2 linked regions of the Oryzias latipes genome follow. The protein of the gene in region 1 interacts with the protein of each later gene in a biochemical or structural test. Links are inferred from orthologs where the notes say so. Each region holds a gene or a part of one and is shown on either strand. Other genes may lie near its edges. The genes, in order: caspase 3B and hematopoietic lineage cell-specific protein.

The links.
Region 2: of the proteins of caspase 3B (region 1) and hematopoietic lineage cell-specific protein, one has a biochemical effect on the other in vitro, tested with the Homo sapiens proteins (2 studies listed by BioGRID). The link is inferred for Oryzias latipes from reciprocal best matches to the Homo sapiens genes CASP3 and HCLS1.

The regions. Positions count from the first base shown.
Region 1 is NC_019859.2:19,919,001-19,923,380, reverse strand, and holds the start of caspase 3B, read left to right. Parts: upstream 1-1,519; 5' UTR 1,520-1,620; coding exon 1,621-1,679; intron 1,680-2,651; coding exon 2,652-2,791; intron 2,792-3,738; coding exon 3,739-3,867; intron 3,868-3,983; coding exon 3,984-4,159; intron 4,160-4,247; coding exon 4,248-4,356; intron 4,357-4,380. UniProt on the Homo sapiens protein: Thiol protease that acts as a major effector caspase involved in the execution phase of apoptosis. Following cleavage and activation by initiator caspases (CASP8, CASP9 and/or CASP10), mediates execution of apoptosis by catalyzing cleavage of many proteins.
Region 2 is NC_019881.2:17,764,162-17,767,316, forward strand, and holds part of hematopoietic lineage cell-specific protein, read right to left. Parts: intron 2,188-3,155; coding exon 2,118-2,187; intron 1,555-2,117; coding exon 1,406-1,554; intron 1,323-1,405; coding exon 1,203-1,322; intron 348-1,202; coding exon 197-347; intron 1-196. UniProt on the Homo sapiens protein: Substrate of the antigen receptor-coupled tyrosine kinase. Plays a role in antigen receptor signaling for both clonal expansion and deletion in lymphoid cells. May also be involved in the regulation of gene expression.

The sequences.
Region 1 (4,380 bases):
TTGTATCAGAATTTATTGTACACCTTGAGGGGGGGTATGCTTGCTGATAAACTCTGATGCAAATTGATGGAAAAACAACTGTTAAAAAAAAGTGATTAAATAACTGAGTTCCACTTATACCTGTAAACCAGCTTGGTGATTTCCTTTGAGGTTATTGATATTAAACCTGTTGAGTGATTCTTCTTCTGTAATGTGCTGCATTTGTAGATTTTAACTAAGATGTGCCTCAATTTATAGCTGTGATACAAAGTGGATTAAATGAGATAAGGTAGCACTAAAGCAGTAAAAACTACATTTTGTTTGGCAATATGTCAGGAATTTAAAGCAGACAAAAACGTTTTTGTCCTAAATGCAAGTGCACTTGTACAAATAAGTCACTAAAAATTATAAGAAATAAGCAAATTCTTAATAAAATGGTGAAAAGATGGTCTAGAAATCAATCTAGAACACCAAAACAGTTGCATTTGAGTTCCCTCGTTTAATGTAACCTTTGCTTTTGTGTGCAGCAAAAAGTTTTTCATTTTAAACGGTATTTAATTTATTCCCAAGAGTTAGAATTGACATTTTTAATCTAACATTTACAGATTTTCACCGTGCTATACGGATGTTGTGTACTTTAAGATGTTGTAAATGTTGTTTTTGTCATAGCTCCTGGTTTTACGTTTGCGATCCCAAAAATGAATGTTTTCCTTTTTTTGTGGGTAGTTAATTCATTTTCACATATTATGGACTTGCAGAGATGTCACCTTGAATTATGCAGTAACTTTCTGTTCAAAGTTAGAGCAATAAAAGTGATCAACCTTTTAATTTTAGGAACTGAAATAGTGGTATCTTTAGGAGAGTTGACTATCGTTTCAAGCATTCACTTTTTTTTCTTGTTTCTTTCAGGTTGGGTTGTCTCAAGCCTGTTTGTGGTGTTCATTTTCCCAACAAACTATCCAATTACAATTTAAAATGGTTTATTAATTTTTAAAGGGAGGCCTTGCCTTTGTAATTTAATCAGTACAGACTGTTGGAGGAGAAAGATCACCTTGTGTGTTGTGTTTGTGTGTGGTAGCAGTAGTTGAGGGTTAAAGTATTATTTGGTTTTGTTGATAATGCCCTTGTATTTACTGTGTAAATAAAACTACAGTTATTTACAAAACTAGAAGGGTGTGTGCCATCATTTATTTATGTGTAAGATGAGTGTGTTTAAAAATGTTTTCTTAAGCTTAGGTTTAAGTACACTTTATGGTGTATTGTCTCTGCATATTATCCTGGAAAATAGTATCCTGGAATCAGTTTGTTTTTGGCAAGTAAATATCGAACCTTTTCCATTTGGGCAAATTCTAAACTGTAGACATATCAAATTCTTACTCGTTTTAAAATCTAATCTTTATTTAATTGTCTTTGGGGCATAGTTCCAATAGGGGGCGCCCGTGAGCTGATGGCGCGTCTGCGCATGTCAGAACCCTTTTGTTTATTAACCAGGTCGGTTCCTTAGCTAGCTGATGCTACAAGCTGTGAGAGCAGCGTAGTGTTGTCTTGTAAAGGACACCGCTGTGTTAGTTTACTACTGCACGACACACAGGGCGGTTCATTTAATTTATTACAGTCGTTCAACTTAACTTAGAGGAAAATATGGCGTCAAATCGACCAGGAGAGGATTCTACAGACGCAAGGAAAGACAATGGAGAACTGTGAGTCAATAATGTTTCTGTCACCTCTTATTTATGGACCTCGGTGAACTTGGAAACCCATTCACGTATTCGGACTTCCGGGAACAAATTATTTCGTAAACTTTTTTTTTTTTTAATTATCTCGTAAACTATACGTTTGTTTGCCGAACAAATGAGAAAAGTGTCAGTGTGTACACAGAGGCCTTTGGTGCATTTTGTTTTTGTTTTTCCATTTTATTCAGCAGATGTTTTAGAAAATACAGGAAATGATTGAGGTGAAGTACATGATTTGTATGCATGTGTGCTTGTTTTTAGCCTCTCTATAGCACTTTTCACCGCGTGAAACAAGAACAATACAAACCAACAAATGGATAAAATAAAATAAAAGAGCTTTTTTTTTTAAAGGAGAGTGTCTTCAACAGAAAATGGAGATATCTTTGGGGGTAAAAAACGAGGCCATGATTGTTTTAGGGCTGGGGAACTCCAGGCCTTAAGTGTCCGGGGTGTCTGCATGGTTTCCAGATAGCATTGCCATGATACTCACGGCTGATCACCTGGATCAGGTGTGTCCAGCCAATTGAAGCATGACAGAGCAAAATATGTAGGGAAACATGCAGGAATCCTGCTCTGCTGTACTCTGCAACATGACAGAAGAAAAGAGACAGTTACCTCCTAAAACAAACACTTTGTTCTTGCGGTATTCTTCCCAGAACTACAGATCAGTGAATTTTTATCTGACTTTTCTTGTTGATTTTCTTTTTATTATTATTATTAATATGTCTGTAATTTATGGTGCAGTAAGTCAGTAGAAGAGGACACTTCAAACAAAAATAATTTTTTTGAAGCCTATTAGTGCCTGTTTTTAAATGTAACATTTGAAAATAACTACCGTGTCTCTTGTGGCTTTGAACCCTCCACTTGTCCTTTTGATTGTTTCCTGTTTCGATTTATATCGTTTAGGTAAAGTTGATTTTGTGTTATGTTGTGTTGCAGGGCAGCAGGGGCTTCACCTGCTCCTGATCGCATGGACGTCGATGGGAAGCCCTCCTCTCACAGCTTTAGATACAGCCTCAACTTTCCCACCATCGGCCTCTGCATCATCATTAACAACAAGAATTTTGATCGAGGAACCGGTGATCCCTGTTTTTATTTCTATTTTCCTGTACTCTGGCATGGAAAATGATTCTATATTGAAGTGGTTATCCCAGCTCCTATTATTACAGGCTAAACTGAAGACTTGTCAGAAATAGTTTAGTTATCCAAGAAAATATATTTTCACAGATGTTGAGGAAAAACATACACTGTCAGTGATAAACATTAGTCTCTCACTTCTAAAATTTTGATGGTTTTGATTGGTTTGGCCCCTTTACTTTGTAACATTTGCTAATGAAATTAAGGCAAAGCAGAAATATAATGGAACCTTGTCTACCTTAAGTGTTTCATTTTTCTCTGTGGCCTGCCAGGATGAGCATGAAGCTTTAGATTTAATGTTTAGGTTCAGCTGTTTTATAAGACTGTACAAAACTATGGTGTAGTAATTCATAAACAGTCAAAAACGGATAATGTTCTGCTTTGTTAAATAGAATGTACAAATATTAAACAAAAAATAATCTATCAGGACTACAGTTCTTAAAATAACTTATCTGAAATGCAGCAGGAACCTAGTCAGACCTGCAGTAGCACATATACAACATATATTAAGCCTAAATGTGATTTAAAAAGCATGATTTATCCAGAACATACATTAAGAGATTCAGCTTTGCTCTGTGTATTCAACTTTTCAGTGTCCAGGAAGATGTTAGACAGTTTTGTAAAACATAATCATATATTTTTTTTTGTTTTGTTACAGCCTAGTTGTGACAAAAGAGCGTCTGATTAAGGCAAAAAAGTGACTTTTAATGCACAACAAGAGCTGTGGAAATAAATTTGCACATATTAAATCACTCTAATATGAGACCACTCATATTCGACCACTGTTTGAAGGTTTTTTAAGGAAATTTGTGCGGTTCAAATTCTTTTTTGTTTTGTTACTAAACCAATTGTTGCTGACTTTTTTTTTTACACCATTTTGTTCTGTTAGGTATGAATCAGCGAAACGGTACAGACATCGATGCAGCCTCTGCAATGAAAGTGTTTTCAAAGTTGGGCTATAGAGTGAAGATTTACAATGACCAGACAGTTAAACAGATTAAACAGCTTTTGACTGATGGTTAGTATGATTCACACTCTCTTCAAAATGCTACTTTTAAACATTCCAGTGCTTATTCATATAGATATTTATAATCCTTTTGGTATATTTTATTGCTTTGGATTTATTTTTGTTAGTATCAAGGATGGACCACAGTGACTCCGCCTCTTTCGTCTGCATCCTTTTGAGTCATGGCGACGAGGGCGTTTTCTTCGGCACGGATGGTTCGATAGAACTCAAAACTCTGACGTCCCTGTTCCGAGGGGATCACTGCAAATCACTGGTGGGAAAGCCCAAACTGTTTTTCATCCAGGTACGACCAAAGCCTCTCATTTGTTGCCCACCATCATTTTCCTATCAGTCTGTGAAAATGTTTGGTTTGGGTTTGTGGACACTGAAAGGCTTGCAGAGGCACCGAACTGGATGATGGCATTGAAGCAGATTCCAAAGAAGACACCACCAAGATCCCAGTGGAAGCTGACTTCCTGTACGCATTCTCCACAGCTCCAGGTAGCATCTTAAAACAGCCTTAGT
Region 2 (3,155 bases), on another chromosome or scaffold:
CTATGCACAATGACAATAAAGCTATTCTATTCTATTCTATTCATTATGTTTTACCTAACTATATTTAACTGATTTTTTTTACATACGGTAGTTACCATAATCTGGTTCATAATGTCTGATTAAAAGCATTACATTATCCCAAAAATTATAAATATTTCAGGATGGCTGAACATGGGGGGTGTTTTCAGAGTCTGACCTGTTACTGTAGGAAGAGGAGGAGCTTCAATAATTTCATCATAATCTCCTTCATCCTCTTCCAGTGATCTTCCGGGCAGAGGCGGAGCCTCTTCTTCAAAATCCTCTGGGCGTGGCGGCAAAGCTGGCGGCTCATCGTATTCCTGTTCTTCCTGCAAACAGAACTCGTCCATTTATGCATCTACTAAACCCCTTCTTCCTGTTCGGGGCATTGACAGTAAATGAGAGCTGGATCGAGCGAGTGTGACATCACTCATAGAAAAAGACTTGTGAAATGAAGACAGTTTGGTCGCCATACGGACGCCATAACCTAAGTAGCGATTGGTCCGAGTGGGCTGTAGCCTACGGTTCTATGGGAACCACCCTCGCCAATCAGGAGTGATCTTATTGTAAGTCCACGCCCCTACCAATATAAAGCATGCTGCACAAAATCTTTCAAACAGACGTTTTCAACATTGGACGTGGGGGGGCCAGTAGGCACTGACTACTTTTATTGAGGCATTTGATTGGTCAGTTTATAACTTGAATAACTTCAACTACAGGAAAAATATAATGAAAAAAAATCAGGATTAGCAAGAACATAAAAAAGGGCAAGAATGGTTATTTCTCTATTAAGTCTATGGGATTTTGGCTTTTATTCCTTTTTGGAATAGGGGAGGGGTCACTTAGTCCAGTTCTCATTTACACTCGACGGTTCAAGGTCATGGGATTGCTGGAGCCTATCCTACTTCTGGGTGATTGCAGGGTATACCCCGGACAGTTAGCCAGACCATTTTAGGGCCGCAAACACAACCAAGTCTGTGATTTTAGTGCCTTCAAGTACTCCTATGATTTGTTTTTATTTTTTTTCAGAACCAACGTTTACTTTAACATATAAATACTCACTGTATGTGCAAAATACATTTTGTATTTAGGTAGAAACAAGAGAGTTAAGGTAAATTTTGAATCCAATGAAAATCCTTCTCTAATCACGTCTGTTACATGTGGAATTTGTCATCAAGTCTCACCTCCACCTCTTGAGTAGGCATTTCTTCCTTTTCTGGGGTGTGGTAGTAGGCTTCAACTGGCGGCACGTTGTACTCTGGAGCCTTATCTACAGGCGGGGGCTCTACCTCCTCATCTTTGAGCTGCTCCAAAAGCAAACGGCACAGAAGTGGCTCCTTGGTGCACAGAAAGCAGCTTAACAAGTCCTGGTGAAATGTGGTGTTACCTCCTGTTTGCGTTTGACCTCCTCTCGCTCTCGGCTTTCCCTGGCCTGCCTTCTTGCTCTTTCTTCTTCTACTTTCCTCCTGTTCTCCTCTTCTGAGACTTTAGCCAGGCTCTCAAAGCGAGCCTTGAGCTTCCCCGCGCCTGCACTTGCTGCAGAAAAAGGACAACTGTCACTACAGAAGTACTCCATTATAAAAATGCTAATAATTTCTAATATAAAGCCAAAAAAAAAAGAAAAACAGGATATATAAAAAAGGTTTTAAGGAAGATAAGAAGAATATTTACACAAAAAATGAAAAATGATAAGCTTGTGAGGACAACCCAAAAACGTATGCATTTCTTTCTGTGGGGTGAGGTTGTGGAGAAACACGGAGGAAAGTATCAAAATGAGTGAAAGTGTTACGCAATTAAAAATCTTGGAAAAATATAAATTAGAAAATGAGGAGCCTAATAAAATGGGTGGACAATTGTGACATTGTTTTGGTACTATGATGCTTTTATTTTGTGAATAATGATTATATTTCTCATGTGTAGAAATGAATGCATAATATCTATGAAGAGTTTTGGGTGGAGAATTGATATGATTTTCTTCTACCCACTTTTTTTCCATGCAATTTATTGTAAAATGACTTTTTTATGTGAAGCTTGAAAATAAAGGGATGTCAATCAATCAGTAAGATAGACGGTTCAGCCTTTTAAGGAGACAGACTCACACGCCTCAACTGGTTTGGTCTTTTCATAAACAGAACTTGGGGAGTCCTTGCTCAAGAAGTCTGTTGCATCCTAGAGTCAAGCAGAAATAAAGTGATTAGAGTAAACAAAAGCAAAGTTCCTACTTTTGTCTCAATTACAACTTTATGGTTTGATGACTACATTATTTATCCAGCCTTTTTCTAAAATATTCAGCATAAAATGTTAGCAAAAGATCTAGTCACGTATGTGTACAGAGAGATTTTAAAAATGTGTCACTTCAGCCTAATTTAAATTAAAACAAAAGGAAGAACAATGGATGAAGAAAAAACATTTATGCCACTGTTTGGCATGGCAGAGGTGTGATCATGATTTGAGTTACGTGCTTTCATACCTTTCCTGGAGAAGTGAACTACAAAACCAAATACAGAAAATTCAAAGTGTCCTTTGAAGACACTCATTAATGAGAATAGCTATTTTTGGTATTTTTAACATATTCTTGCAGCATTTTTCTGACGATGGAGGACATATATAAAGAAAATTAAGCTTAATAAGGCATTTCTAAATATTTCCTCATTCAGATTATTGTGAATCAGGAGCAGACGAAAAACAATTCTGTTTGAAATACAGCTTATTTGTGACGTATGCACATTAATAACCACATTTTATGCGACCGTCTTTATTTTCCTCCTCAGAGCTGGTATCTGGATGAACCTTGTAAGGTGGCTGGATAGCCAATTTTGATGCACCGATAACGTTAGGTTGAGGGTGTAATGAGCTAGCATGAGTGCGTGTAAACCGATGGATTATGGGAAGTGGGGGCAGGCCTACTCCACAGCAACAGTCCCACCTACAATTTAGAGGTGAATTTCGAATGAACTCCTGCCGCTCTGCAGAAACTATGTCCGAAAAATGGACACAGGTGTTTTTTTTTATTTTGGCAAAAAACGGCAAATTCATGATTAGGGCAGTCCAATTTTCACGTTAATCGCGATTAATTAGTTATAGACATTTTAGCGTGTTTTTTATATCGCGTTAATCTCTTGCATATCAGAAGATGC